Lepisosteus oculatus: one gene and its partners. The protein of the gene in region 1 interacts with the protein of each later gene in a biochemical or structural test. Links are inferred from orthologs where the notes say so. Each region holds a gene or a part of one and is shown on either strand. Other genes may lie near its edges.

Evidence for each region.
Region 2: of the proteins of gsk3ba (region 1) and nin, one has a biochemical effect on the other in vitro, tested with the Homo sapiens proteins (2 studies listed by BioGRID and IntAct). The link is inferred for Lepisosteus oculatus from reciprocal best matches to the Homo sapiens genes GSK3B and NIN.
Region 3: of the proteins of gsk3ba (region 1) and eif2b5, one has a biochemical effect on the other in vitro, tested with the Homo sapiens proteins (2 studies listed by BioGRID and IntAct). The link is inferred for Lepisosteus oculatus from reciprocal best matches to the Homo sapiens genes GSK3B and EIF2B5.
Region 4: of the proteins of gsk3ba (region 1) and klf5b, one has a biochemical effect on the other in vitro, tested with the Homo sapiens proteins (2 studies listed by BioGRID). The link is inferred for Lepisosteus oculatus from reciprocal best matches to the Homo sapiens genes GSK3B and KLF5.

Annotation. Positions count from the first base shown.
Region 1 is NC_090710.1:19,224,038-19,231,669, forward strand, and holds the start of gsk3ba (glycogen synthase kinase-3 beta), read left to right. Parts: upstream 1-4,616; 5' UTR 4,617-5,496; coding exon 5,497-5,584; intron 5,585-7,632. UniProt on the Homo sapiens protein: Constitutively active protein kinase that acts as a negative regulator in the hormonal control of glucose homeostasis, Wnt signaling and regulation of transcription factors and microtubules, by phosphorylating and inactivating glycogen synthase (GYS1 or GYS2), EIF2B, CTNNB1/beta-catenin, APC, AXIN1, DPYSL2/CRMP2, JUN, NFATC1/NFATC, MAPT/TAU and MACF1.
Region 2 is NC_090703.1:13,095,834-13,102,982, reverse strand, and holds the start of nin (ninein), read left to right. Parts: upstream 1-4,093; 5' UTR 4,094-4,119; coding exon 4,120-4,211; intron 4,212-6,173; coding exon 6,174-6,393; intron 6,394-7,149. UniProt on the Homo sapiens protein: Centrosomal protein required in the positioning and anchorage of the microtubule minus-end in epithelial cells. May also act as a centrosome maturation factor.
Region 3 is NC_090708.1:8,500,350-8,507,804, reverse strand, and holds the start of eif2b5 (translation initiation factor eIF2B subunit epsilon), read right to left. Parts: upstream 3,154-7,455; 5' UTR 3,100-3,153; coding exon 2,935-3,099; intron 1,970-2,934; coding exon 1,845-1,969; intron 996-1,844; coding exon 810-995; intron 379-809; coding exon 201-378; intron 1-200. Other genes in the region: probable cyclin-dependent serine/threonine-protein kinase DDB_G0292550, read right to left, coding at 4,785-5,039, 5,992-6,091. UniProt on the Homo sapiens protein: Acts as a component of the translation initiation factor 2B (eIF2B) complex, which catalyzes the exchange of GDP for GTP on eukaryotic initiation factor 2 (eIF2) gamma subunit.
Region 4 is NC_090710.1:33,615,162-33,623,106, forward strand, and holds the start of klf5b (Krueppel-like factor 5), read left to right. Parts: upstream 1-4,822; 5' UTR 4,823-5,004; coding exon 5,005-5,184; intron 5,185-7,385; coding exon 7,386-7,945. Other genes in the region: pibf1 (progesterone-induced-blocking factor 1), read left to right, coding at 441-611, 1,034-1,087. UniProt on the Homo sapiens protein: Transcription factor that binds to GC box promoter elements. Activates the transcription of these genes.

The DNA of each region.
Region 1 (7,632 bases):
TCAGTGGCAGCAGCAAATTAAAATGACTTGTACCCAGAAAAGGTAGTCGGTCATAGGGGTGCAGTTTAATAATGGTCAAATAGCTTAAGGTATGGGATGGTACGGAGAGCGGCAATCAATTATGAAGACAAAAACGTTTTCGCGATTAAAAATCTTGTGAATTCATTTAAACCAGTGAAGCATGTATTATGCAGAGAGGGTCAGTTGGTCAAAGAATAATAATGATGTACCTGAGGGGGAAAGACAGTGACAAATCTAAGTCAACATGTATTGTAAAAGGCCTATTCATAAATGTTATCATCTTCGCAGAAAACCTTTTTAACTCAAAATCATCATCCAGACCATTAGGTTTTAAAGTAGAAATTTATTAAAGTATCCAACATGATTCATTTTGCTGTCTGTAGTGAATTTGTGAAATCTGCATTGAAATGCTTGGGCGAAGAGAACTTTGTAGCTTTGGATTGAAGTACAGTAAGGGGCTTTTTATGCTCATATTAACTAGCTGTAGTCAGCTTCAGAGATCGACCACAACAAACTTCAAGGTGATAGATGTCCAGCTAATACACACTTTAGTTGCACATGTAAGGGTTCTTGGGGTTTCCTCCCTTGCCGCTCCTGCCCTGCCAGTTCGTCCTTCGGTGCTTTGGCTCGAACCCGGGTCTCCGGCGTCATGCAACAGGGAACTTGCCGGCTGAGCTAAAGGAGACCTCCCCAGTCTGGGCAACTGAGATCCCTGTCATACGCAGGGGTGTATTCGTTACACACAGCATACGCTGAAAGTTTCTGTCACTCCAATAAGCAGGCGTGGAGATAGACATCTATGTTTAGCCTTCACATTTGATACATGGACTGGGTATCTTTGCTGTAGAGTTTCAATGGAGATTACAAGTTAATTTAATTATTGACACTTTTATTTCTTGGTGACTTACATTTCCACCTATTTATACACCTGTGTATTTTACTGGAATAGCTCAACTACTTTGCTCAGGGGTATATCACCCTGCAGCTCACAACTGGCAACCCACTGCTGCTAAGCAGGTGTGAGCCTGGTCAATACTGGGATGGAGACCTGGGAAAAACTAAGGTTGCTGCTGGAAGAGGTGTTAGTGGGTCCAGTAGGTAACACTCACCCTGTGGTCTGTGTGGGTCCTAATGCCCCAGGATAGTGATGGGGACACTGTACTGTAAAAAAAGAGCCCCTGTCCTTCAGATGAAACTTAAAACTGAGGTACTCACTCTCTGTGGTCATTTAAAATCTCAGGGCACTTCTAAAAAAGAGTAATGGTTTTACCTTGGTATCCAGGCCAAATTTCCCATTTGCCTTTACCAATCACTGCCTCATAATAATCCTTTTCTGTGAATTCATTGGCTTCATCTCTCTGTTCTCCTCCCCACGGATAGCTGGCGTGTGGTGAGCGTACTGGTGCACTTTTGCTGCCATCATCCAGGTGGGGGCTGCACATTGGTGATGATGGAGGGAGTCACCATTACCTGTAAAGTGCTTTGAGTGGAGTGTCCAGAAAGCCATGTATAAGTGTAATAATAATAATAATAATAATAATAATAATAATAATAATAATAATAATAATAATAATAATAATAATAAACTATTCTTATTATTATTACAGTGACTAACCTAGGGTTTGAACAATCTTCCAGTTACGAGTTTAGAAATCCTGACCACTGCTACACACTCCTGCATTCTTCCCACATTCTAAGATATGAAGGCGGGGTGTTACAGTGGTTCAGCCCCTTCCACACACCCCTCACACATACTCTGTAAACATGCGACAACAACAAGAAAAACACGCAGCTTAACAGAATATGGCAGCACGAACAGCAATCAAATGTAATGAGGGTAACAATTAGAACTACTTACAGCTTGTACAACTTGTACTACTTACGGTGATGGTGGAGGGGATCCCCATTACCTGTAAAGCGCTTTGAGTGAAGTGTCCAGAAAAGCGCTATATAAGTGTAAGCAATTATTAATATTATAATTTTTATTGTGCTCCCACAGTGCCTGTATGGCAAACAGGGCCATTGGAGCCTAGAGTGAAGTCCCATTTCCTGCAGCTAGGGGGCGCATGGTCTTTACAGTATTATTTTAAGGGAAGAAACTAAGCTGGGATGCTTTGGAGATTGGAGCCAATATCCACGTTGTTCTAGCGATGATGTAGCACATCTCACTTTGGCTTCTAAAATCTTTTTCAACAAACATCCATGCTGATTTGAATATGGATACAACTTTTTTTTAAATGTGAATATTCACATGAAAAGTCTGGCCTTGTGTGAGAATTTGCACACATGCTGTTTCCACATGCTGTCAGGAGTTTTGAAGCAATGCTTTTGCTGAGTGAATACCAGCTGAATTAAATAACTGAACAACACTTAAAAAATGGACACCTGCCTGCAGTGGATTTGTCTTCAGGTTTTCAGCTCAGCTCTAAACAACCACAATCAGGTCATTTTCTCACAACTGGAACAGCTTCTTATCTTATCTTAGCTTTTCCTGGCTCTTCAAGTGTGCTTTGTAGAGACCGAGCAAACCCACAAACACAATGCCCCCTTGAACAATATTATGTTTTGCCTGAAAAGATCGTAACAATACAAGACAGATATTGATGAAGTGCCTGACTGTTTTCCTTGTTGTATATGGCACTATAAACATCTTGTAAAATGAGCAAGCAAATGGCTAACTGTACCTGAATATCTCCACAGGATCTTCTGATAAAACAGTGGAGGTGAGCCCTTGTTAATGCAGGCTTTGATGTCAGGGATCCTGTAGTGTGCAGAACATGTTTAACTGCTTATTAGTGATAAAGTTGCTTACGTATTTTAAGCAACGTGGACTGTTTTCGCTCAAAACCACAAGCAGTGATCACTGTTATTTCACCAGAGAATGACTCTGTTTTTTGCTTTTGTAGCGTCAGGCTCAAACCTGTCGCAGGCCACTCATGAAATGATATGGTAGCCCCTTCTGCACAACACCTCATGAACAAATTGCCAAACTCGTAGATATCCCACAACCCAGCACTATATACACCTCCACTGTTCGTACCTATGTGAGAGAATGTGCATGCACAAGTCCCTGTCTTACAATAGTCACCATACTGTTGCTAACAATACAAACAAATGATATAAATAGTGGTGATACTTTAGTTGATAGAAATTATTAAAACACCATTAATAAATATTTTTAAGCCATATCTTAAAGCAGCCATATCACCCTGCAACTCACAACTGGTAACCCACTGAAGCTAAGCAGGTGTGAGCCTGGTCAGTACCTGGATGGGAGACCTCCTGGGACAAACTAAGGTTGCTGCTGGAAGAGGTGCTAGTGGAGCCAGCAGGGGGCGCTCACCCTGTGGTCTGTGTGGGTCCTAATGCCCCAGTATAGTGACGGGGACACTATACTGTAAACAGGTGCTGTCCTTTGGATGAGACGTAAAACCGAGGTCCTGACTCTCTGTGCTCATTAAAAATCCCAGGGCGTTTCTCGAAAAGAGTAGGGGTGTAACCCCGGCGTCCTGGCCAAATTTCCCATTGGCCCTTACCAATCATGGCCTCCTAATAATCCCCCTCTATGAATTGGCTTAATTACTCTGCTCTCCTCCCCACTGATAGCTGATGTGTGGTGAGTGTACTGGTGCACTATGGCTACCGTCACATCATCCAGGTGGTGGAGGGGAGTCCCCATTACCTGTAAAGTGCTTTGAGTGGAATGTCCAGAAAAGCGCTATATAAGTGTAAGCAATTATTATTAACAAACATGTTAAAACCTAATGAATGTCTTCACCAGAAAATAACATAAGAAAGTTTACACAAGAGGAGGACAAACACAGGTGGGAAGCTTGTTTTAAACTCCCACAAATCTCTGTGGTAAGAAATTCCTATTCTCCTTGTGTTCTATTTTAAATGCAGTTCCATGGTGTTCCCAGTTGTTTCATTTGCAGTATTGCTACACCCCCATGTTGATGTCTTCTGGACAGTTCACAAATATATTAAAGAAATGTTTCCTGTAACTGACACCTGCCTCACATTTGCGAGAGTAGACATAGAAGCAGAGCACATTTTTAGATATCTGTCCAAATTACCAACAGTTAGGTTAACCTTCTAAAGATGGCGCCCATTTTGAAGTACGCTAACGTAATTGACTCTAGCATGATATGGGATATCTATGGTTAATCTAGAGCGGCCTTGCTCTTTGCTGCGTAATTTGCACTCACGACCAACGAGATTGGTGAACACCCGGCGTCCTTCTAAAATTCGATTGGACTTTGCTCAGTCACTCCTGACGCAAACCCACCTCAGCCCGCCTCTGTTACCTATTTATGGTCGTTTTCGTTACAGCTGGTGGCATTCGGCTATCTTCGGAAAAATGGGGGCATGGGAGGTGGGAGGAGGGGGGGGCGCAGTCCCATTGGCCCTCAACCCCCGGATCTCTCCGCCCGTCTCGCTCCAGATTGGCTGACAGAACCTCCTCACGTCTGCTTGCGCGTTCACAATGTCCGATTCTCGCACAGCAGCTACTGCAGTCTGGTGACGTAGCCCACGCTGTTCGCAATTAGCCGTGGCGCCTTTGTCCGTACATTACGCAAATGACGTTGTGCGGGTCGGAGTGACAAAGAGAGCGAGCACAGAGACAGACGGAGACGGAATAGAAAAAGAAATTCTGAATTTGTGAGAGTGGCAAAATTGCTATTTCCCACTTAACTAGGCATCTAAGGCACTTTTTCGACCCCCGGCTTTATCCCAGAGAGTTCAGATTATAACATCTGTGTGTATGGGGCCGGAAGAGGCGGAAGAACTGGGGAGATCTTTTGATTTAAAATCGGGAAATTGGAAATTTTTCATTTGAATTGTTGGTTGGGCTGAGCAAGGAAGCCGCCATGGCTGAAGCTGTCGGATCATTGAGTCTCCACCTCAGAATATGAAGCAGATTTTCGTGGCTGCCTTGTGTAATCGGCGATATTTTAAGAGAAAGTTTGCGTTTTAGAAAAGCAAATCGGATCCGATTTTTTAAATAAAAAAGATCTAAGCGACCTTGTGTTCCTTAAAATAAATTAAAGGGAGTTTTTTTTAAAAAAAAAGATAGAAGATACCGTGGAGGGGGAGGAGAGAGAAAGGTTAGCCGTTTTCCATGAGACACTGGGAAATCAAAGACGTTTTTCTTTTGAAGGCCTGATCGTTGGAGCAGGAGGAGAAGACGAAGCAAGGAAAGGGGCCTTTTTTCCCTGGGAGAAAAAGGGATGATTTGAAAGGAGACCCGGGTCTGGGTGGACAGGAGACGCCAGGAATCGAGTGAAACCGGGAAGGGGCCGAGAGCCGTGGGGAGCTGCTTCCGTTTGCCGAGATACGCTGGCCGTCGGCTCCGACCGGGGGGAAGACCGCAGCGACAGATCTGATCCCAGCAGCAGCAGCAGCGGCCGAGAGAAAGGCGGCGAGAGAGAGAGAGAGAGGGGTGGGGGAGACGGAGATCGGTGAAGAGGGATCATGTCCGGACGGCCCAGGACCACCTCCTTCGCGGAGAGCTGCAAGCCGGTGCAGCCGCCGTCCGCGTTTGGCAGCATGAAAGTCAGCAGTAAGTGTCACCCAGCCTGCGTCCGACTGTCAGCGCCCGGGCCGCGCCGGCGGCGAGCGTGTGTCTGTCATACTGAATCGTGCGATTTGAATTGACGACGCTTGGGCTCTGGCTGTTAGATTTTTTTTTTTCTTGGGCGGTCGAGAGGTGATGGTGTTACTTGTCTATGCGGTCTATGGCGTTTTTATTCGGCGAGAAAGCCGGCCCCTTCGTAGCACGGTTGAGGTCTGACATCGGTATCGATAATCGATACGGTGCTTTCGATACGGAAGTGCATCCCTAATAAGCCAAACGTGCATTTTAATAATACACGTAGACGCTTAGAATAAGACCGCTAAGCGTAAGAGTAATGTAGAACCAGTTGTTCACACGGATTCGTGCAAAATGATTTTGATGATCATGCTGCACAGTCTGCGATGTAGCATCTGTCAGGCGTTAAAGCTACAGGCCGATTCCTCGCTGATAATCAGTTCTGTGTGACTTCATCGAGGAAGTGGATTGGTGATAAACCAACAGTATTGGAGAGACTGGGCTCCGAGTGTCTGCCAGAGTAACAAGGCGAGCGTAGTGTGCAACCGTATTTCACTTAATGCCAGAAGGACACTTCGACATCCTTTAACTGCTGTATTTGTTGTCCTTGCTATAGCTCAAAAGAAAATAATTCACGACAAAGTAAAAACAGTTCCGCACCACAATTTTAACATCCCCTTCCATTGACTAGTTGTGTGGGTGGTACTGTACTGCCTTTGCTATTTCAAGCAGTAGAATTATTAATACCGCGTTTCAGTGCTGGTGTCGGGCACCCTTCCACATATCTCACGCGGGAAAGAAGACGGCTTTCTGTCTGAGGAGCTAGGTGGAAGTTTGTGTTTGGCACAAATATGTGTCATACTGAATTTAGAAGACAAGCTTGCAACAACGGGGAGGGAAAGAGAGTTCCGCGTTTTCCGCAGAGAAGGGGCAGGGGTTTTGAATGTTGTGGTTAAAGGCTGTGAAAGATTGCGTTGACTGGTGTATGGGTTTTCAATATCACGTTTAATGTTTGAAAACTTGGTCTGAGGTGTGTGGATTTAATCTGTTGAATGTTCTTTGTGTGTGGATATGTGATGCTCCTGGTCCTGGACAGCCTGGGGTATCATGGTTTTCCAAGCTGTCTTTAAAGTAGTAGTAACTCAAGAGCTGGGCGGAGCTGTTGAACAGGTCCAGTTAAGCCGTTAACTAGCTGGTGTAGCTCGTTAAGAGATGGAATGAAAACTGCAGACGCACTAGTTCTCCAGGACCAGAACTGCACACCCCCAGTTTAGTGTTGCCTCATCCTTACCAAATGATAGGAAGCTGAACCTGGCACCAGTGCATTCCCACTGATGCAACACTGCCTGTCCAGGATCCAGAAAGGTCCAGGTCAATTATCCCATGTCTTGGGTTGTCCTGACAGATCCCTTGCTCACCTGCTAAACGTGCAGATTTCCTTTGCATTTATTAGTAAGGATTTGTCTCTGTAGGAATAAGGGTGTGAAGCATGAATCAAGCCTGGGATGCTGGAGAGAGCATCCCTTGCCAGCATACTTTCTTCCAGGACTTGATCGTTTTAGCTGATCAGCTGTTGGTTCAGCTGAATAATTGAGTAGTAGATCTTGGCACAGCTCCTGCAATGCAGTCAGGTTGGAAGCTCGTGTCTGGACGCCTGGAAGGCATGAAGGCAGCACAGTTCCTCTTGGCTCCAGAGTTTCGGGTTCGATTTCGGGGGGGGGGGGGTACCTGTCTGGGTATACCTGGCATGTTGTTACTGGGTTTTCTGGTTTCCTCCCAAGGACGTGCAATTTAGGATTGATTATTTATTCTGATGTTGCTTAGGATGGTCTCTTCTCGTCTCTGGCCTTTCTGATGTCCCGATATTCGCTTTGGTTTTTTGGTTGATAGTGGACTGAGTGGCCCAGAATTTGTTTGGGAATATTTTGTACTTGGATACCCTAACCTCCGTGCTACAGTGCTAGCTTCTATATGCAACCTTTACTCTTTCCAAAACGGAGCTTTTTTTCATTGCAAGA
Region 2 (7,149 bases), on another chromosome or scaffold:
AAGATAACATGTTATTCGGTGTTTATTTTTTCTAACATTGACACGGACTCCTGAGATTTTTGAAAACGGAAAGGCACTCAGATATTGTTGCTCCTGATCAAATACATAAGAGCCACAACACGAATTCTACGAAAACCTAATACTACGTGCTCTACGGTAAAAACTTATTCTCCAGTTGTTTAGTATTTCATCCCTGTTATTTTGTAAACTTTGTCTACGAAGCCGTCTGCATCCTAGCCCCGGTCCTTGTGTTCGTTGACCACTGGCGATTGACATTATTCTAATCCGATTCGTTCTGCCTGCTAATTCCTTTGTGGAAAGGACGCTTTACAAATGCAAATATCCTACTACGGGCAGCTAGTGGCTGCAGAAAAGTGCAACGTGGAAAATACCATGGTTTTCCAAGGGTTAAGGAATTTACCTGTTTGGGCCACTTAAATATAAATAAGGGAATGATTTACATCAACTTTCACTTTTGTTGATGCCTAATCTAGATTCCAGTATGAATTACGCAGAAATCATGAATTGTACAAAATGTTTTCATATACCAAAGTCCGTTTTCTCCTCATAATCAATATTGTTTATACAGCAATAAAGCCACTTCTTAATCATAATATTAAGAATAAATATATGTTTTTGCATTTTTCATAATTGTTGTGCTTCAGTGCCGTGTTGATTGGCTTGACTGGCAACTTGCTTTGCCGTTGCTAAGCGCAGACCGGTGGCTGGTAGCCTGTTGATTCAAGGAAGCAGGACAGATCTCTGCTGTTGTGCTTTGAAAAAGCCGACTGGGAGGCGGACTACAAATGCAAATGTATTTTGACACAAACTTATTCATTCCGCCGGCAGCTCAAAAACACGTCTCCTGACGGTTTCTTTACGTAGAACACATCAATTCTGTGTCATTTAAGTGTCCGTGTGTTATTATCTTGTTTGTATTAGTTTGAAAATAATATTTGACTTTTTTTTCGGTTTGCAGCATCAGGTTATGTACACACCGTCTTCCTATATCCGTCCTGTATTTCAACAATGACGTATAACACCAACGAAGTATTTATTTTCAAGTCTGCCCTTTTTATATATTACTTTGGTAATACTCAATTAGTAGAGGCCGCAATCTGTACGTCTCCAGTATCCATGCATTAGGGTGTATTGTTATTTGCCAGTGTATTAAAGGCAAATAGCGTTATGTACCTATGAAAATACTACTTGATTATCAAAAGTAAAAATATGTAGTATTAACAATGGGCTTTTGTCTGTTGTAACGAGGCCATCATGGTTCAAGTCATCAGGTACGATAGATAACATAAAATGTAAAAATGAAAGGATGACTGAGTAATCTCAGGAGCCTGTGTCCAGTGAAAAGGCGTATTATTGCATTGATGGTACACCTGCTTAAGCCCAAATTAACCTTGTTGTTGAGCCTTTTGTGTGGTATCATTCTCAGAAACAGTACAGTCTCATCAGTCATAGTAAAAACAGTTTCATTTATTGGATAACCAGTTTTGGTAACAGATGACCTTGAGGCCTAAACACTCTCTGTTTAGCTGAAGAAACACCCCCTTTCCATTAGCTTAGCTGGGAGAATTAGTCCATGCATTGTTTACTACATATATAACACATGGGGAAGGATTCTGTGTCTAGTTGATAGTAGATCCTTATGCATTTAGGTCTGGATCTATTAGACAGCTGAAGCACCTTGATCAAAAGTCATACAGTGAATGAAGGAAATGACCTTTTCTTCTGCTGAGTTTATATTCCCAGCCTTTCAGGATACTTATTCCCAAGTATTATGAGCGAGTACAGTGCTAGCTGCAGAAATGTCATTCACAATTCAGACTTTTAGTGCATTTACAGTATTTATTAACACCACAAATGCAGGCTTCTCGCTGGTTTACTGTCATGTAGTTGACATCCTTTTGGTGCAGAATATGATCAGTCTGCTTACAGGAGAGAATGGAATCAAAGTCATTATGTTGATTCCTGGTCTCATAAGGAGACCTGGAGCTTGCCAAGAGGTAATTAACCACCTGAGCTCTTCTACAGTATATGATGAAGGTAATTAGGAGCAAAGTAAAGGCCATAACTGTTCAAATATCTTACATGTGGATGTTAAAAAATACAGTTTTTTATTAAAAATACATATATATTTTTAACTCAAACATTTACAAATATACTTTTTGCCAATATATACATTCTGAGAACAATATTAGGTGGTATGGCACCTGCATTGCCCATTCTGATATAGAGACAGTAAATTGTTTCATTGTGTGTTTTATGAACCACATTATTAAACATCCTATCCTTTGTATCCTATATTTTGGTTTCATGTGCTAATGTTCTTAATTGCTCTGAAAGCATGAGTTATTTGCTGAGGTAATAAGTAGGGAGATGATGTTTAACTACTGTATCAACCTTGCAATCATCAGTACTAATGTATTGCAGAGTGCTAATTCACTTGTATTTCATCTGACACACTAGAGTGCAGTGCAGTGATTGCATTTAAAAAGTCCATTGTCTGCGCTGAATGGAGCTCCCTGGGCCTGCTCAAGGACACCTGGCTGATGGTGGTCCTTTTGAAGGACTAGTGCACTGCAGCTGTGAGTGGGTCCTGTGAGACAGTCTCCTCCCTGCACAGTCACAGCTTGGTGCACTCTGTAGACAGTCTGCCTCAGTCCATTTTGGTCTGCCATATTAGCTCCCAGTGAAGAGGGCTTCCAAGTTGATCACCAGGAGAAATTATACACCATCTATTTTCTAACCTCTTTATCCAGTACAGGATCCTGGCAAGCAACAGGCACTAGGCAGGATACACTCTGGGTGGGATGCCTGTCCACTGCAGGGCAAACACAGACACAAACACACACACACTCACACCTGGGACAGTTTTCCCAGAAGCAACAGAATTTATTCTGTAACTAAAACACACTTTTTTCTTATAATATAATGCATACATAGATAAATTTAAATTAGGTTTTTGATATTGTCCTTTTATCACTGAATTGTGGGTTATAGGCTCTTAAATGACCAAATCTGGTAGTTATGTCAGATAAAGCTTTACATTAATGTATTGCATTATATCACATGCTGAATTGCTGTGTGTGATCACGTTGACATAATGTGCTTTTATTAATTTGGAAACTGATGATTCTATCTAGGAAATCAGTAGTCTGTTTATTTGCTTATTTCATATCTTTATCTTTTATCTGCTTTTTTCTATTACATCTATTTATTTCCTACCCTAACATACTCCTGTGGCTGTGGAATCAGCCTGTTTATCATCACTGATCATCTGTTCAGCCTTTTGGATGTGTAAGTCCAAATGTGTTGTGTTTCATTGATGTAAATTGCATTAGACAACACAAATCCCCTTTTCTCTTCACCCCCAGTCGTGTATTTCTCTGAAGGGCTCATTTTTAAAAGGAAATTGGCAAAATCAGCTTTTTATCTATTAGATATTTTATTTTAATTATGCAAGTAAAAAGAACACAGCTGTGAAATGATCAAAACCCAAGATTTCAGCTATTTTGACACTGGGTAATTTATGACAGGGTATGTGAAGGGAAACAACTGTTTCTCTGAGATGGTTTGCACTGTGGGTGTGTGAATTCTGAGACCAATCAGAGAAGAAGTCCAGACCTTCGCATGAGGTAGAGAGGGTAAAGATCAGCTACATCTGTGTGCAACCATCCTCTCTATAAAAATGTTCAGAACACCGGAGAAGGTGTTGAATTGACTAGTTGTGAACTTTGCCTAGTTTTGGAGTTTTGAAGTCACCAGGGAAATGTTTTGCTCTCTTGTAGGTTAAACAGGGTAGAATATGCTTGTCTTTTCAATGAGATTAAAGTTAGGAGGAAGAACCATAGTGTACAGTAGCCCTCCTGTACTGTGAAGTTAGCTTTAGAGAGAAATCCAGTGAGACAAAACAGGTTACAAACCAAGTCAGAGAGGGGAGGGTTTTACAACATTGTTTGTCTTTCCTCTGAATGTGTGTAGGATCTCTACACCACACTGGTATGGCATTATCTGTCCAGACACTAAGGTACTAATACTGCTTATCTAATAGATCAGTTGGCCTTGACTGCCCAGGTGAAGGAATGGAAGTAGTTTTGCCCTTCCATGAACTCCTGTCTTAGCAACATTGGTAATCCATCTGACCACAAAAGGATTTTGGGTCTGTGTGCTGGCCAGCGAGATGTCTTAGGTCAAAGGTAAAATTATCTTTCTCACCTTGTACGTTCAGCAAACATACTGTACACAGTAGCCTGATTGTTATCCGGACAGGGACAGGATCTTGGACTGAATGTAAACAGAAACATCAAGATATACCGCTTCTCCTTCATCCTCTCTCCTGCAGTGTTCATATTTTTCTCCCATTTTAGCTTTTAGAGTAACCCACAAAAGCAAACTTTTGCAATTGCTCACAGAGGCCACCTTCATATGTTTTGAAGTAGTGGGGCTCGATCATAAGACTGAATGAGAGGTTTGCCAATGATGTGAACAAAAATTCAGGACACAGTCAGTTACATGCAAGACCTCTGAATCAATATGACTGCATTGGTGATGATGCAAGCCAAGCCAGCATATACTAAACAAATCACTTTATTCTGATAAAAAAAATCTTGAACTCCTTTTCACAGTAAGACACTACACATGAGGAACCTAGGACTATGCTCTATGGTGCAAATGTTCTGAATTTTGAAAATTATTTACAACAATAAAAATATACTATTCTGACCTATCAACATCCAAAGCTGTAGCATGGGACACAGTTAAGACAACAGATGACAATATTTTGCTGCTCATTAAAATAAAAAAACATTGTCCTTCAAAACATGAAATTGTTGACATCCATTTGAGAAAATATTTACGTAAAGATTAGTAAAAATAGTAAAGAGCAGAATAGTGTGATTGTTTTCGAAACCTTTGAAAACACAAGAAAAGCTCAATCTTACTGTGTTGGATTCGACTCAGTGATACTGTTAAAGTAAACATTTTTACACAAAAAAAATCTCTTATTTGTGCAGAAAGTCTAACATTTTTTCTGGATTGAAACAATTCTAAATATACTGCTGTGACACCAATTCAGTGATAGGCATGGATCCAATCCAGATTTATTACAGATAGATTAAAAAGATATTTCAGCTGACCCACAGTTCTCTCTTAATCAACTATTTATAGCACTAGATTGCATACATGCAAAATTTACAATGGCTGTTAGTTTACGATCTTTTTTGAAGTAGTTCTAAAAAGAAGTTAAGCAGCTGTTTACACTTTTAGTCCATGACACCTGCTTTAGAATAATCTTAGTAGTGTACATTCTCAATCCCTTCCTGCTGTACTGGGTGTTTCTGTCCCTACAGGCAAGTGACTCACCTTGTCTTATTAATCTGCTTGTTTCTATTATCCCATACCCTGTTCCTCTCCCTGCTTAGTAACGAAGTTCTTCATTGGAATTTCAACAGGTGAAACTAAGATGTCTCTGGTTGTTCAGTCAGTTTTAGTGCATCTGTGGCATTTAACTTCACAGTGGTGTCTGCTTTCATGCCTAAGTGATTTAAGTTTAAAATCAATATGGTTCATTGGAAGAATAACAGGCTTACAAGAACATTAAACTTAATTAATGTCCTAGAAGACCTGAACTGGAATTTCTGTTTAAAAATCTGTAAATTTGGTACGTCAGTTTAAGAAAAGACTCAATCATAGAATATTTCTCAACCCAATTTTCACTGGTATTGCACGGAATCTACTTGTTTGCTTTTGAAAGCTAATTTTGAGATTTTCAGTGGTCTTGTAAAGATGGAGATTGTGGGCATGAACAGAACTATTTAAGAATCTTAGAAGGCAAAAACACTTCTATTTTGCTCAAAGTGAAGAGGTCTGTTAAAAATAACCTAAGAACCTAAAAACATTTTATCCCATCTGGCCTGTTTGACTGTTAATTATTCCAGGAATCCGATCCAGCCATTTCTTGAGAAGATCCAGGGTATCAGCTTCAAAAACATAGCTGGGCAGCTTGATCCATAGTCCCAGCAAGACAAGATGACAAGAAAGCATTGTGGAGAATTTTCCTCACCAGCTGAGCGGGAAATTCTCCTCAATGCAATATCTCAGCAATGGTGAGTTAGGGTTTCCTAAATCTCTCCCTTTCTCCCTGTCATTCTTGCTCCCAGGGTGAGCGGGCAGGTGGTTCTGTGCTATGGGATGGATGAAGCCCAGCAGGACCAGTACGAGGCTCAGCTGAAGGAAGTCTTCGACAGTTTCGACACCAGCGGCTCGGGGTCCCTGGGTCAGGAGGAGCTCTCGGAGCTGTGCAGGGCCCTGCATCTTGAAGAAGTCGCCCCTACACTACTGCACACCCTGCTGCCAGAAGAGGGACTTCACACTGACAGGGTACGGGACAGCGCCTGCTGGGATAGGGTTGGGGGCATCAGCTTGTGTGGTCAGTTCTGTGTGTCTGTGTGTCCGTTTCCAGATCTAAGTGAGAACTGGCTCATGTACAGTATGTGGTGTGGAACGGGTACTGGGGTGAGGCAGCATTCTTTTACAGCTTGGAACAAGGCCATTGTTTGAGAATGAGAAGAGAAGCTACATATTTAAAGGCTGTACAACAACTAAAGGGACTTAGTAGTATACTAATTAGCTAGTAGTACTAGGTACTTATAGTAAGTGGTAGTTAGAAGCTTGGGGGCATCTCAGTAGAAAGTATTACGCATGTAAGGTGCAGGTGGCATTGATGGCTTAAGGTGTTGGCAGATTGTTCTGGACCTTACTCCTACGGGCCTCCCTCAGAGAGCAGTGGAGATTAATATGGACTCTGTGACCATTCCTCATTTTAAACACAGTGGAGTTCCACAGTGCACAGTGAGGAATTTGCTGTTTTGTCCTTAAATACCACAATAAAAACTGTATCATTTGAAATAATGGTCGTGTAATTATTCTTCCTGATATTACTGCAGGAATGAAGCCCATATTAGCGACAGACGCTGTGCTTTCTGAACAAGAGTTTATGGGGCTGCCACGCATTGAAGATCAACATCTTTCTGTGGTTCCTATGGAGGTCTCTGTGGAAACCAGCCCAAACTCTGAGACCTGGATTCCTAAGTTTATAAATCATTGTGGGAGTGTGTGGCACATTTCAGGCCTGTT
Region 3 (7,455 bases), on another chromosome or scaffold:
CACTGTAACATTTTATGTTTAAGTAATCAATTAAAACAACATACTGTTAACTATCATTTTGTTTAAAAAATATATTTTCAATATTCTGCAATTTATATATTATAGGATACAGTTTTAAATTTTTACTTTTAGAAGACTGGAAGTGAAGCTTCAGACTCTTTTTCTTCATCACCTTATTAGCACTGCTAACAACTGCTTACCATTGGGAAACGGAGTTTCTTTAGCCCATGAGTCTTCTGGTAGTGAAGAACCCGCTTGCTCTTGCTGTCCACAGCTACAATAACATCGTCTTCCTCACAGCGTGACTTGTGACCAGGCGACGACTCCTTGAAAATCATGGTCATCACAGACACGTTCTTTTCTGCCTTGCGACGATTCCTACGCAGAAGAATGATTGTGGTTCATTTGTGACTTGTGATCCACAAAATAGAACGGAAGAAAACACATCATAACTAATGCAGTTCTGGAACGCAAGAACCGTGCATCCCTCTTGAGTGAGGAAAAGCGGAATGAAACTCACTTTTTTATGCAACAGCCAACTTGCTATGAACCTACAACAATCCGGCTCCTGGAAGTCTAGCATGTCAGCAGCTCTTCATTCCAGCTCAACTAGCAAATGCCTCAAGCATCTCATCATTGGCCAATTTAACAACTTCTCGCAGTGCTTCAGGTGACGCTACCGTACGCAGAGAAAACCAGTACAGACACCTGCCCTCCAGAACCAGACATGGAGAGCCCTGGCCTACAATCCATCCATACAGCAGCTCTACACGAAGCTACATACACCCTCAGGAGTTCAGGGGCTCTACCTGTGTTCCTGCAGGGCTTGGGTGACATCGATGTTGGACACCACGTCCCCATAAACAAGAAGGAAGTCACCACGGACGAGAGACTTGGCATCGACGTCCCTCAGCACGTCCCCCAGGGAACGGTACAGGTCTGACGTGATGACGTGTACTGTGTTTGGGGAGGTCGGGCGGCACCATTTTGACTTCCTAAGGAATAAAGATGGAAATAAACACAACAGATACCAGACAGCTTTCTGCAGAGCTACAAACTTAGACGGGAACTGAAGTCCCCATTCCTCAGGACTGGTAATTGAACCTCAGTAACAAAATAAATTGACTGTGTTTGCAAAATTTGACCAGTTCTGAAACAAGCACAAAATTGTGAACTTTAAGAAAGTGCTGGATAGTTGCCATGGTGTGGCAACCCCCCAGTATCTCCAGGGGGAGGGAGCAAGAGTTCCCACAAATTGCCATGTGATGCGGCCCTTCCTGCTCACTAGTCTCCACAATGAATATTGTAATGGGATGTACAAACGTATAAATACAGGTTGTACAGCAGACATTTAATTGCAGAAATGTTCCAAAGTGATCTGCATGCAGAGTTAACAGGTACTGTAAGTAGCATTTGTAGCAATATCTTGAAGTGGATAACAATATTTCTGTTGGATTCAAATAGATGTGTTCACAAGTCCGCATGATCACAACATCGTAGCGCTGCTTCATCTCATCGGACGTTTTGTTGCCTTGTTCTGAATTACAGAATATGGCACTGCGCACACCTGGAAATGTTATCTATGTTGTGATGTAAATTGGAGCTTTAACACGTTACTGTGTATATTCTACTTTCATTGGATCTTGAAATGCACTCATCAATGCTAATTCCTTCTAATCCCAAACTATAAAAATAGCCCTACAGTTCCCCTTTAAGGTTGAATTTAAACGTAATATGTAGTTCCTGTGAAAAAAAAGCCATAAAACCTCACTGCAGATGAGTACAAATCAGTTTGAGATGCTGTGAAAACAAATCTCTTTTTACAAAGAAGGGACGTTACTCACAACAAGTGCTCTTTGATTTTATTCGACATCCAGCAACAAAAGACAAACGTTTCCTGGACACCAGTGGCGGTGAGGCATTCCAGTGTATAGTCAATCATGGCCACATTGGCCAGTGGGAACAAAGCCTGAATGACAGAAAAGCAACTGTCAAACAACCACTTCACATAAAGCATAAAGTTAAATATTCAATATTAAATATTCAGTAGACAGTAGGATGATTAATACAATTCAGAAACCAAACATAGTTGTAGCACTGATATATAAGAATGTCAGTCAATGTTTCAAATATATTTGTTTTTCCCCCCCCAAAATCAACATTATACCACTTTACAATCTTAATACTATAATTTAACATACTTCTGGGAAAATGAACATTTGCTATACTATCATACCACTATTATGAATTAATGTGAATTCGTGTGAATGTAATCAATGGTTAAGGATCCAGTTGCCGTTTCCTGAGTAAGAGATAAACAATACCCATACAGGGAGATAAAGTGAAAGTGCAACATACTAATTTAGTAAAATACTACTGGCATGAAAAACGTACGTAGGATTAATGTTATGAGCGTTTTAAACATAATTCTAAACCTAGAGTTAGTTTAGACCCAACGGGGTTTGAAAAAAGAACATTATATTTTGGACTAGAGCAAAAAAAAAACATTATATGCTGTCCCGTAAAGCCTCAGTCACAAAATTAGTTACAATGAAGCAACATAGAACTTGTACGCAAAATGTTAACGGGATACAGTTTTACATTTCTACTTTTAGAAGACTTTTCTGTTGTTAGTTATGTATTTGTGTTGCACCTGTCCCTATACATAACACGAATAAATAAATTAGAAGGTATGGAACGGAGTAATTAGAATATACAGAAATAAGAGAAAACAAAGCACTTGCTAAAGTACTGTAAGTCAGTGCGATGAATACTAGGCGATGAAAACCTGATGTCAACAGAATATGCAACGTAATATTTTTATTTAAAAATCAAGAAGCGTGCAGTCAAAACGTAAAACACAAAACGAACGTTGTTGAGAAACCAGCTTTGCATTTCATTTCACACACAGCCATGTGCACACGCCACACTGACCCTGGGCTGATCTTTAGAAATGGGGAAAAATCTCCGGGTGAAGCTGTCGGCTATCAGAACAGCCTGAAGCGGCTGCTCCTCCTCTTCTTGCCCGGCAGGACCCTTTCTGTTCGCGCTGCCAGTCGCATTGTTGGCACGGCTCTGTTTCCCAACTCTACCTGCCATGTTTCCTTGCTCGTCTCCTCTCCTGACGATCGCCAAACTACGGCAAGCGCGATGGGACAAACGTTGCCTTTGTATATGTGAAAGGGGAATACCAGAAAACTCATTTGAGTTTCTTTTTGTAGACCTTGGGTTAAAATAAGTCACTTATTTGTCAGACCAAATGCTAAACATTTAACATGATAACTATAAGATTGGGTAAAAGATATTGGGAAATATGTACAATGCAAACAACATACTTTCTTTTTTACTTGTATAGGCTTTGAGGATTATAAGATACTAAATGAACTACAACTAAAAAAGCTAAAATAACTACAATATCTTGGTATCAGCGTAATAATGTGAAAAAAAATGTGTGGGTTCATATATTGATAAGATCATAATTTAATTTTAAACATTCTGTGCCACATATACAGGGCAGCATGGTGCTTACATGTATTTACTTATAATTGCTTACACTTACATAGCACTTTTCTGGACACTCCACACAAAGCCCTTTCAGGTAACAGGGACTCCCCTCCACCCTCACCAATGTACAGCATCCAGAGTGATGCAGCCACTACATAGATGGGGATTATTAGGTAGCCATGATTAATAAAGGCCAATGGGAAATTTGTCCAGGATGCCAGGGTGATGCCTCTACTCTTTTCAAAAAACACCCTGGGATTTTTAATAACCACAGAGAGTCAGGACCTCCGTTTTACATCTCATCCAAAGGACAGCACCTGTTTACAGTATAGTGTCCCTGTCACTATGCTGGAGCATTCAGACCCACACAGACCGCAGGGTAAGCACCCCGCCTGGCCCCACTAACACCTCTTCCAGCTGCAACCTCAGTTTTTCCCAGGAGGTCTCCCATCCAGGGACTGACCAGGCTCACACCTGCTGAGCTTCAGTGGGTTGCCAGCTGCAGGGTGATACAGCTGCTGTATGCATGTCCTCCCTCTGTCTGTGTGGTTTTTCACCTTCTACTCCAGTATCCTCTAACCTAACCAAGACATGCAGGGCAGGTTTGATTGGGTGTCATAAAATACAATATCTGTTTTATTTATCCCCAGGGAGGGTTTTCAAGGAGCTTCATACTTTTTGTGTTTATTCCCAGTAGGGTACTACAGATAATTTTTTTAATTACAAGAAATCTTTCTTATTATTCCAATAATATGAAATCCAATACACTTTCAGTAGTTTTCTTACTTTAATTAAGTAGAAAGTGAGTATTTAGCTGTAAAGTAAACCACGTAGGTCCTTTCCATGCTGAAAGGTAAAAAAAGAGACACAATGTTTTGGCTGTTGGAGAGAGGAGGAGAAGGTAGCAGAAAATAAGGCATAGGAGGAAAAAAGAAAGAGTAGTTAAGACGGAGCGGTGATCAAGGAGGAATAGGGCATGTTGCAGGTGAGAATGAGTATCCAAACTCAGGATGAACAGATGGAGATGTGTGAAAAGCCAAAATCTGCAAAAGAATAGAGGGGATTTAAAGGGGGCAAAAGGGGGCAGGTGTGATCCTAATTTCAAGATTATTTTGGTTTCGGATGTCTTTCTGCAACAGGAGTTGGACCCTTACCCCTCTGTGAGGACCCAGACAGAGAGATCAGTGTGATTGTAGCGGAGCTAGTTCAGACACGGTGACGTCATTGCCCTCACTGCGCGTAGCAGGGACCTCAGCTGCCTGGGCTGAGGGAGGTCTCCTTTAGCTCATGCGGCTGGTTCCCTGTGGCGTTACGCCAGTGACTCGGGTTCGCGCCCCAGGTGCTGTGGCACGAAACGGGGTGGCGGAGGGCACAAGCCCGTGTGGAACCACGACGGTCACATGATCATGGCCGTCGGAGTTGAAATGGGGAACTACGAGTTTGGAGAGATCTTTGATCCTCACGGCCCTGACATGTTCCCTGAAACGGTCTCCTAGTCTCCTTCCTGCCTCTTCGGCATTCGGAATCAGCATTTTCTGCATTAATGAGGTTGCTGGAAATACATGATGTCATCTGAGTGAGACGGAACTGTCCAAAGGGTCCTTGATTGTGCATAGTATTGGATATGTATTTGCAGGAGATGCAGCTGGTTCTGTTGCAGGGGAAAGAGTCTGGTGTGAATGGTTGCTGTGGGAGGTTAAGGGAGCTGTGAAGAAGAAGATTGTGCAGATGAGGTGGTCAGGGATACGAGGAGGTCAGTGATGGGGAGGTCAGGAAAGAGGGTAACAGCAGAGGGGTCATCCTGTAAGATGGGTAAGTTGTTATTAATGGTCCTGGGGATAGAAAGGGTGTTGGGGTGGTAGGGCATCACCACTGAAATGCAGAAGTTCGGTACTTCCTATATGGGTTGATGATCTGAAGACCATTTTGGCTCGAGTGAGAGTCCTGTCAATAACATGTATAGGGTATCCTCTGTTAATGAAAAAGAGTGCATTCTGAGGGCTTGGTTATGGAAGTCCATGTTGTCTTTGCCTGAGGTGCCCGAGGAACTGTGAAAAGGCGAGAGAGTTTTTAGTATGTGTGGACTGAAAGGAGCTGTACAAGAGATAACGACGTGAGCCAGTGGGTTTGTAATCGACAGAAGTAATTGGAAAGGGAATGGAATTGGTCAGATAAAACATGTTTCAATAAAGCACAACAGAATGCAATATAGACGAAGAAAAGTTAGGGAACTAAATTAAAGCCTTATGATGAGATCTTAATAAAGGTTTAAATTACATTCAATTATGCGCTTGCTGTAGACAATAGTAAGTCAGGGTAGTAGTCTGAATCCTAAAATTGAGTATCTCTTGCTCAGAGTTCTAGGTTTATATGAGTTCTGCCCCTGCCCCCACAGAACGAATGTAGTTCAGTCCAAGATGATGCTGCTGATCAGAAGAAACCCTTATCGTAGTACAGTACAAGATCAATGTACATTCAACCACTCACTCTTTTGCCAGCTGCTTCATTCGATTCAGTAAGCTCGCTTGACACACACAGGCAGACACACACACTCACAACCAGGGTGTACAACACAAATAACTCACACCTGGAAGAAACTCACACAAACAGGGGGAGAACATACAAACTCCGCACAGATAACATCCCAGGTCTGGAACTAAACTCAGGGACCCCAACCACTGTGCCCCAGTGCTGGCCTTATTTCTACTATTTATTCAAATATACTGTAGTTAATTGACGTAGCTACATTGTGCCTGTTTATAACAAAGTACAGTATATGCAAAGCATGGATGTAATTAATTGAAGACTGCTTTGTATTTGCTGGAACAAATACTTATGTAAATGTACTTATTTCATACAACCAATGAAATACACTGGATCAACCTGAACTGAATTTAATTTCATCCAGACCTCCTGAACAAAAATCTTCTGAGGAGGCCATTAAGACAGGGAAAGCTTCCGTCTAATTCCTTTCAAGGACAGTGAAACGTTGTTTTGCAGGTGGTCTCCAATGATGCTCTTAATCTGAAAGAAATTAGACCTCGTTATTTCCTTTTTTTAAAACTTTTTATAATCAATCTGGGATTGGAAATTATTTCCTTATGTCTCCTTTACAACGTCTATCCAGAGGGAATGAACATGGGGCAGACAAGCTCCTCTGACCTCCATCAGAGACAAATGGCAGTCAGTGCAATGATCTGACTGCAAGGCTGCAGGCAACCAGCCAGACACAGGAGCTGCTGTTCCATTGAGAGCTGAGCGAGTGCTGGGTGGCTAATCACAATGATTCCTGAGATGACTTTCTGCCAATTGTGTGTTGTCACTTAGTAAGTCACAGTGAGCTAGGGATGAAATCCGGGCTCAGGTGTGTTACTTGTGGGTCATACAGCTCAATGTGAGCATCATTATTGGTTGAACCAATCAGAATACTGAAGTCTCAATGTTCTGAGGGCATAAGAATTAATAAGATTTTAATGAATAAAGTCTGATTCATAATTCAGTAAAATCATTCAAATATAAACCAAATCCACAGAATTTTCAATAAATAATTGTAAAATCTCAGTATTGGAGCAGATGGCAATTCTGTAAGAACCCCTACTCTCTTATTTATACATTGATAGCTGTGTCCTTTAAGTTAGTTCTATCCCTTTACATTTAGCCTAATTTAAAAGTACGATGTTATCATATTTTAATTCTATTAAATTTTAAGCAATATGTCCTTGGACATCCAACTACTACATTAATGCTCTTTCTTGTTTAAATTGCTGTTAATGAGGTGTTAAAACAGCACCTTCTAATTAAACTCATTGTGTTAGAAAAGATTGTTAACCTTCATGGACCTATGTTTGGAAACTTAAAATGTGAAGCTTCCAGAACAGGTCCATGAAGAGCAGCTTTCCCAGCCACCTCTGCCTCTACAGACTGCTGTACTTACCCCATTTAAAATAAGCC
Region 4 (7,945 bases), about 14 Mb from region 1:
CTGTCTTTTATTTTTTATTTTCATTTTAGTTTGGTGACATATTTGATAAGTATTCTGAATCTCAGATTCTCTTTTCACCATGTGCTACATACAGTAGGAAACTTCCTCAACAGTTACTTGTTGTCGGGATTATCGGTCCTTGTACAGGATTATAGTTCACTAGCTGTTTGAGTTACTAGAGGCAGAAGGTTTGTTTTATAATACTCTAGGCCTTACTTCCATTCATAAATGTATGTGTGCATCCAAATTACAGGTGAAATAAATTTAATTTTCCATCTATATACAATGATTAGTGGAACAATATGATAACACTGAACCCAAAAATACTTTGAGTCAAAATGCTAATAAAAAGAATGCTTGGTGGAATATCTTGTGTAATTCAAAATTAACTTTGCTTTGCTATAAAGTGACTTTCTCATTATTTCCATTTTATTTAACAGGAATTGGCTATAATGAAACAAGTTCTGATTAATATGCATCAAAAACACTATGGTGAAGGGGCGGCTCATCCTCAAAATGAAGAAACCAGAAGAACAGCGATATACAGACCAGAAGGTCTCATTAACACAGAGGAAGAAGAGAATATTCTCAAACCAAAACCAACTTTGTTTGTAAGTATTACACACATTTTACACTTAATTCTCAAGAAAGTTAAACATTATCTTACATTAAAAGATCAAAGAAGTGTTTTTTTTTTTATTATTGCTTTTATGTAGTCAGTCAAACTATGTGGAATAATAATAATAGACTCTTCCCTGAGTGTTTTCACATGGTTGGAAAATATTTGTTGAATTTTTTGCTAAAAGCAAAAGTGCTTAGAATGGTTTCTGAACATCAGATATTTGGTAATTCTTTGTTTTAATGATGAAAGATGAACAAAGTAAACTGTGATTGGCTGTTCAGTCTGGTATGCTTATGACTTTTCTTTGGCATTTACACTGAAATGTTTTGTCAGACTGCTTTTTTGAGAGAGTTCATTATGCACTTTACTGTTGAATGAATTAACTGAAGCTCTTTCTGGTTTTTTTTCCAGACAAATAAAGAGGCTCCTGAATGGTATAAAAAGCTGAAGCATAAAAATAAGTGACAATTTTCTGTTTTCATCATAAAATAAATCATGGTGGTGGTACTGTTAAAAAAGAAGTTTACCATTATTTATTGCTGCATATACAGTATTTTATATGATAATTTGCTGGATTGATTTAGTAAAATCAGTGCATCTTAATTCTTTGTCAATCAAATGTCTTGTGAGATGCCTTATGTAATAAAAATCAATAACCAATGTTGCAAAAAATGCATTGTATCTCATTATTTAATGGACAGATCTACAGTACAGTATGCATTTTGTGTCTCCCAAACTGCTTAAAGACATTTTTCACCTTACACAGTTATTCACAAGATCTAAGTTAAAACTTTAGTTGAAATGTTTATATTAAACTGTGTTGGTGGTATTCTGTTTTGAGGCAGTATATTAGAACTGGAAAAGAGAAAATGGAAAAGAAAATTGTATTGTGTCTAGTCTCTAATATGAGCCTATATATTACAGCCTATAAATATATTGTATTTTGAAATACTTTGTTAAAGATAAGGAAAACATGCATGTAATGTTTTGATGTTATTTAAAGATGACCAGTAGTAATCATAAGTGCACAGCAGAACCTTTAATGTTTTCAATTTATTGAATATATGATTTCTTCACTATACTCTGCTTTAAGTATTGCTGCGTAACAAATTAATTAAACTCAAAGCATGGTCTTCTTGTTCACTTTTAAATTATTTAAATTTGTTTAAATTACTATTTCCACAGTTTGGAGCTAGAATTGTACTGTTGCTGGAAAGGGTAATTAACAAGGCTTATCAGTATAATTAGGGGCAGAGTGCTGCACTAGTGCTTTGCTACCTCACAGAGCAGAGACCCTGTTTTCAATTTCCTACCTGGGCTGCTGTCTGCAGAGTGTGTATGTTCTCCCCACGTTTGCCTGGGTTTTTTCCAGCAGCCCAAACACATACTGGGAGGTTAATTGGCTTCTGGGAAGATTGGCCCTGGTGTGAGTGTGTGTCTGTGTGCGCTCTGCGATGGACTGGTGTCCCATCCATAGGCTCCAGCTCCCCCACGACCCTGAATTGGATGAAGTGGTTAGAAGATGGATGGATGATTAAGTGTATTTAAGGAAATATGGATGATGCTTTTCTCCAAAGTATGTCCCACAGATTATAATATTGTGTTTTGTTTAATGCAAATGAATGCAGGCTCTGTTTGGTTGGGCAATCGGATTAACATATTATTCACATACATGTACAATGCCAGTGTACCCCCTACCCACCTGTATGGAGTTTAAAGTCCAAACTGCTACACTATACATATACCGCAGCCTTCTTATAGGCCTTCTTCTACTGAATCACCTTCCCTTAAAGGCTCCATTTCTAGGAATCCTGATTGATATTAACAAATACAATAACTGTCTCAGGACACTCAGGAACTTGGGTTTGAAAAATAAGCAATCCAGTTACTACAGACTCTCAGCATTGTTCGTTACTCTGTAGGGCAGTACATTCTTACCGTTAAGTGTGTAGCTCTTTTAAGCAGAGAACATAGTGTATAGTATTAAATACCTCATTCAATACTATATATATATATTACATTAAGTCATGTTTATTCAAAAGTAAATACTTTTAAAGCTGATCCAAGTATTTAAAATCCTCAAAGGCACCGAGTCCAGTGAGACACAAACCGGAGGATATAACATGGAAGTGCAGTTAAAACTGAGAATAGGAGGTAAATCTTTTCACAGGGGCTGTAGGATTGAGTAGCAAGTTACCCAGCTACACTTGATGCCACATCCCTGGCATCTTTCCAAAACCAGCTGGATGAAATCCTGAAATTGACCAGCTACTAACTACCAAGCAAGCCACGGTGTGTCATGTTGTCTCTAAGCACATTTCTTGGAATGTCTTCTCATCAGATTTCAGTTCCAACCTGTGCAGGGCAATTAAACAATTAAACCTGATTGTTTTTCTGAATTTTGCGTATATCGGGTTTTTTCCACTACGGTCTTTTACAGTTATTCACTTCCTTAAAGGTGCAGTTTCTGATAAATAACCTCGGAGCGTAAAATGTCAGAATTATGCAGCTAATTAAACAATCAGACCAACAAGGTAACTGGGACCGTGGATCTAACATAAACCGTAATGCACTCGTGCTAGCCGGTCCTCCCCTGGTTCGTCTCTTTTACAGCATTTTCCGTCATATGATTATAGTTTCTAAAATATACTGTAGAAAATAAGGAGAAATACATTTTGTCTTGACAGAATACAAATCACTAATTGCTGTGTTACCAATTTATTTTTTTTATTTTCTTGCCACTAGAATAATTTCCTTTCTGTCATTCGGGTACAGCTTTTTTAAATGGCTGGATGAAGCAGACCTAAACTGCACACTTTTAACCGATGTGGGGAAAGCCAAAAAAAAGTATTTAAAAAGTTATAAAAGTTTTGTGCATTTGCATTTTGTGTATTTCTTTCCAAAGGTTTCCAAATGGGATAAACTGCACCTGCTGTTCAAGGTGGGAGAAAAAATCAATCACATTTTAAATAGCAGGAGCGCGTTGTTATTTAATAAGGTCTCAACAGGACATTCCAAATATAATAAATTGCTGTTATGAGTTTTATAATATCTTACTGCTGAGCTAGTATTTTTTAAAATATGTTTTACCCTGCGAGTTTCTATTGATGTTCCTAAATTGCATTAAATGCTGAACTGGTGGACTAACATACTTCACTTTTTTTAAATACTGGCTTCTAGATACACAATCATACGATTGCCAGTATGTCGGGTGTTTCACTTGACAGCATTTATGTCGCCTCCTTCTTGGAAAGAAACAAAGAGGCAGCATTTAAACAAATCCCCTGTTCACAGGTCCTGCGAACTGTACTTCACATCTAGCACGCAAACGTAGTGTAGCAGGTTAAATGGAAATGAGATCGCCCGGGGCGTTGTTTTCAAATTTATCTGGATGAAACTACACACCCAAACAAAAGCGGGGTTAAAATTGTTTTTAAATGATGTATATTAAAGATGCAGTTGCCGAAGGTTTTACATTCTAATGGCTATGGTGGTTGGTCAATTTTAGACGTTGGGACGTAATTCAAAGGACATCCTTTATCCCTACATCATGAACGAAGATTTCGGCATTTGTGGGAGCTAAATGGATAGGATGGCTTTGGAAAAAAAAACCGTGCGAAATATTTCTAACGCTCAAAGTCTCCCGGGTCTTGATTTGTTGCACACACAGCGTTTAAAAATAGGAATGCATTCCTTTATCATTAAGAGTTTCGAGCCGATCCGGGTCTTCTAGTTACCCTTGGCCCGAGGTGCTCAGAATAAACTAAACTGCTGTAACTGGAATTCCCCTCCAGCTCCACTTATGAAAAACAAAAAGATACAGTACTTCGTTTTCCAGTACATTACATAAATATGTTTTCCACAGTTTAGGGGCTACAAATGTTGTCACGTGTAAAAACAAATACGTGCCACCCTACTCGCACGTTCACTGACCTGCTGTGGTTTGAGTCTGATGAAGTTACTACTGTATGTGGCACCATTGTTACTTTTTGTTCCCGAAACGATGTGAATCATATCCAGACCTTGTGCATTTTCGCTGAAGAATGCTTCTGAACACTCCGCAGTACACCAAACCCGCTGAGTAATAAAGTATTCTCAAGATTTTCAATGATTGTAATCCCTACTACGGTTTATAGTAATTAGCCTCCCCCTTGTCAATCCGATCACCTTGGCTCCGCCCCGAGGCGAACCAGAGAAAAAGTGACCGAGGCGATGTTAGATCAGAAAAGTCCAACAACGGCGAGCTGGGTGGAGCACCGCGCGAAATCTACCGGAGATCTTTCCGTTCGTGTGATTTTCCTATTTGCACTCTGAAAGAATAGCATAAGTAAAACCTAACTGGAATATACCACACTGGGTATTGCACCCTGTAGCTGACATTCATGGCCACTACCACTCTGTTAACGATGACTGCAGGGCTGGGTCCGGGGCAGGACGAACCGTTTTATGCCCTTCTTAAACCAACGCTGTCTGAAGGTAACCAGGAGAGAGACTTGTCGCTGTTTGCTGGAGACATGAAGAATACGGCCAGTGCCAGGATTTTAACGAACGATTTTATGCAGGTAGGACATACTAAGTTTTAGATTTGCAACTTTTCAGTGAAGGTTCTCCTGGGAGCTACAAGTTAAAAAGTCAGGCTTTTTGCGAACGCCTTCTTTTGCACTGTTCAATAGCTATTGATGTATTTGTTTAAAACTTGGTTTGCATTTTAACAGTCCCTTCGTCTCCTTTGAAGGCTGCCTGAATAGAACACGACATTCTAGTGACGATATTTTCATTCCTTTTCAATACTTTTTAAAATAAATATCAGATATGGTGTGATAGTCTAGATGTTTTTGTTTAGATTGCTATTTTTGTATTTTATTTTTCCCCGAAGAGAGAGCCTGCTAAAATCGCGCAGGATTTGAATGGTTTCGTATCATTACTAAGAAAAGGACATCCGTAGTTGGTACGACTGTAAATATATGTATGAATAAAGGAAAATAGTATGTAAGTGAATCTTAAAACTATGTTTATTTCCAGTCCGGGGTAGGAATGAAGGTGGGAGGTACTGTGTGGGCGGAGGGCATTTTTAGCTGTTTGGAAGTTGGAAGCCAGGTCTCTGGCATGGAGTGAGCGCTCAGTACAGTTGCTGTACGGCTGTGTGCACTTGACCACCATCTCGTCGACAACTGACTCCCCTCGCCCACTCGCAGTGCTGGCTCGCAGACTGGGAGAAACTTCCCAGCAACGCAGACCTTAATCAGAAAACCGTTTTGAAAGAGATACTGGGCAGTGAACAGCTGGAAGATCTAAATTCAGAAATAGCTAACCATAGCCTAGCAGAACACTTCTAGCGCTTTGTTCCAGTTTAAAGGATTTTTTTTTCGGTTACTCGAGCATATCACTTACATTAGAGAAATAAGTGAAATTTCCACACATGATTTGGACAGAAGATTAGTTTTGTTTTAACGCGATCGGGGGAGATAGCAGAGTGGTATGAAAAAAGCTTAGCAATTTAACTTATTTTCCACTTGTCAGCTGATTCTGTTTTGGGATTTGGTGTGAGCTGCGTTTTTACAAGAGAAGGGGGAATGTAGCATAAGTCCATTGAAGAGTACTTGATAAATGTTTTGCTGATGACTGTACTAGTAACATATCAGCCTCCTTCCACCCACACGCGCTTTAGCGCAAGCACGGAATGATTACAGTTTAGGCATCAAAATGTCAAGTCTAGTGTTACAGTTTTATAGCTTGACATTATACCCTGCTGAAACGTGGAATGAGAATATTTAATCTGTAATACGCACGCGAAATACACCATGAGACTTTATTCGTTTGATAGCTCACATCCCAATCCATAGCTTTCGAAACGTTTTTCGAGATTTTATTAATGAACAACAAACCCTTTTGCTTTCCTTCTGCTACTTGTTTCAAACATCAGGTAGAGGCTGAAGGACGGAACAGTGCAATTTCTAAAGATGCCTGAAAAATATAATGGAGAGATGCATATAAAAGGAGTACACTGGAAACACTGAAATCTGTTACAGTTTTGTATTGAAATGTAATAATAATCAGAATTGGCTGTGAGAGAGGAGACAAAATGATTTACAGAAATCAGTTACACATTTGGTGTGTGTTTTGTTTTGGCTTCCTTAAAAACGTCATGTGTAATATGTTCCCCCTGCAGATTTGAAGGTCATAATATTAATGTATAGAAAAAAAATGATCAGAAGTACTTATACTGTTTTGACAAAAAAACAAACCCAAATCTTCCAAAGCTTACTCTTGGTCAGAGTTTAAAATAGAAGCACTCACTATTTTTAAGACGCTCATGCTTCATGAAATGTATCAGTAGCAATCTTATATACCTTATTTTACATTTATTATATTAATTTTGTTTATTAAAAAGGTCCAAAGGGAAAATTTAAGTGGTAGCAGTTAAATCTTCAGTAGTAGGCTAAAGATATATCTACATCATAAATTGGTTCCTAGAAATTGACTCTTAAGGCACACAGAAGATTGATTATGATGAATATAATTTGAATATACCGGGTGTTTCCATAGTGTGTCAGCTGGACTTATTATGTTCAGATTTAAAACATTTTTACACCAGTCTAGGTGAATTTAAAAATCTACACATTTTTATCTTTTGAGATATTAAATTTCTTCAATAGTTGGTGAAATTAAGAAAAGCATTGCAATCGTTTGTCAGAGTCATTTCTCTCTGCCTGAGAAATACACTAATTTCTTCTTGGTGATTTTCTTGGTTTTTAATTCTCAGACAAGATCAGAGATGGACAAGTACCTGACGCCACAGCCTCCACCACCCCTGCTAACACCAGAAGAAAAGAAGTTTCGTAGAGATAGTGTTTCTGTGGTGGACCAGTTCTTTTGCGAAGATGAAGGGTCACCATACAGCATCAACATGAACGTCTTTCTTCCAGACTTCACATACCTTCGGACTGGCTTGTGCAGACCCCAGAGGCCAGCGGTGCCGCAGATCAAGACTGAGCCCATGCACTGCTTCGTGCACCCGAACAGCCCAAGCACCAGCGCAGCACAGACCCTCCCTGAGTTTACCAGTGTCTTCAGCTCTGCTGCAGGGGCAGACATCAACAGTATCTTCATCAAACAAGAAATGCCTTCCCTTGATATCCCTCAGGAGGGTCCCCTGTTTCAGCTCTTAAATTCCCCAGAACTGGAAGGGCCCATTGCTGGGAGCCAGGCCTGTGCTAACCCTCATAGCAACATTCCTATGGCATCTGCAATGCCCAATAACAACAACCTTCCTTTGGGCACCCAACAGTCTGCTGCCAAGCCGTTCTGTAACGTGCGCACTGG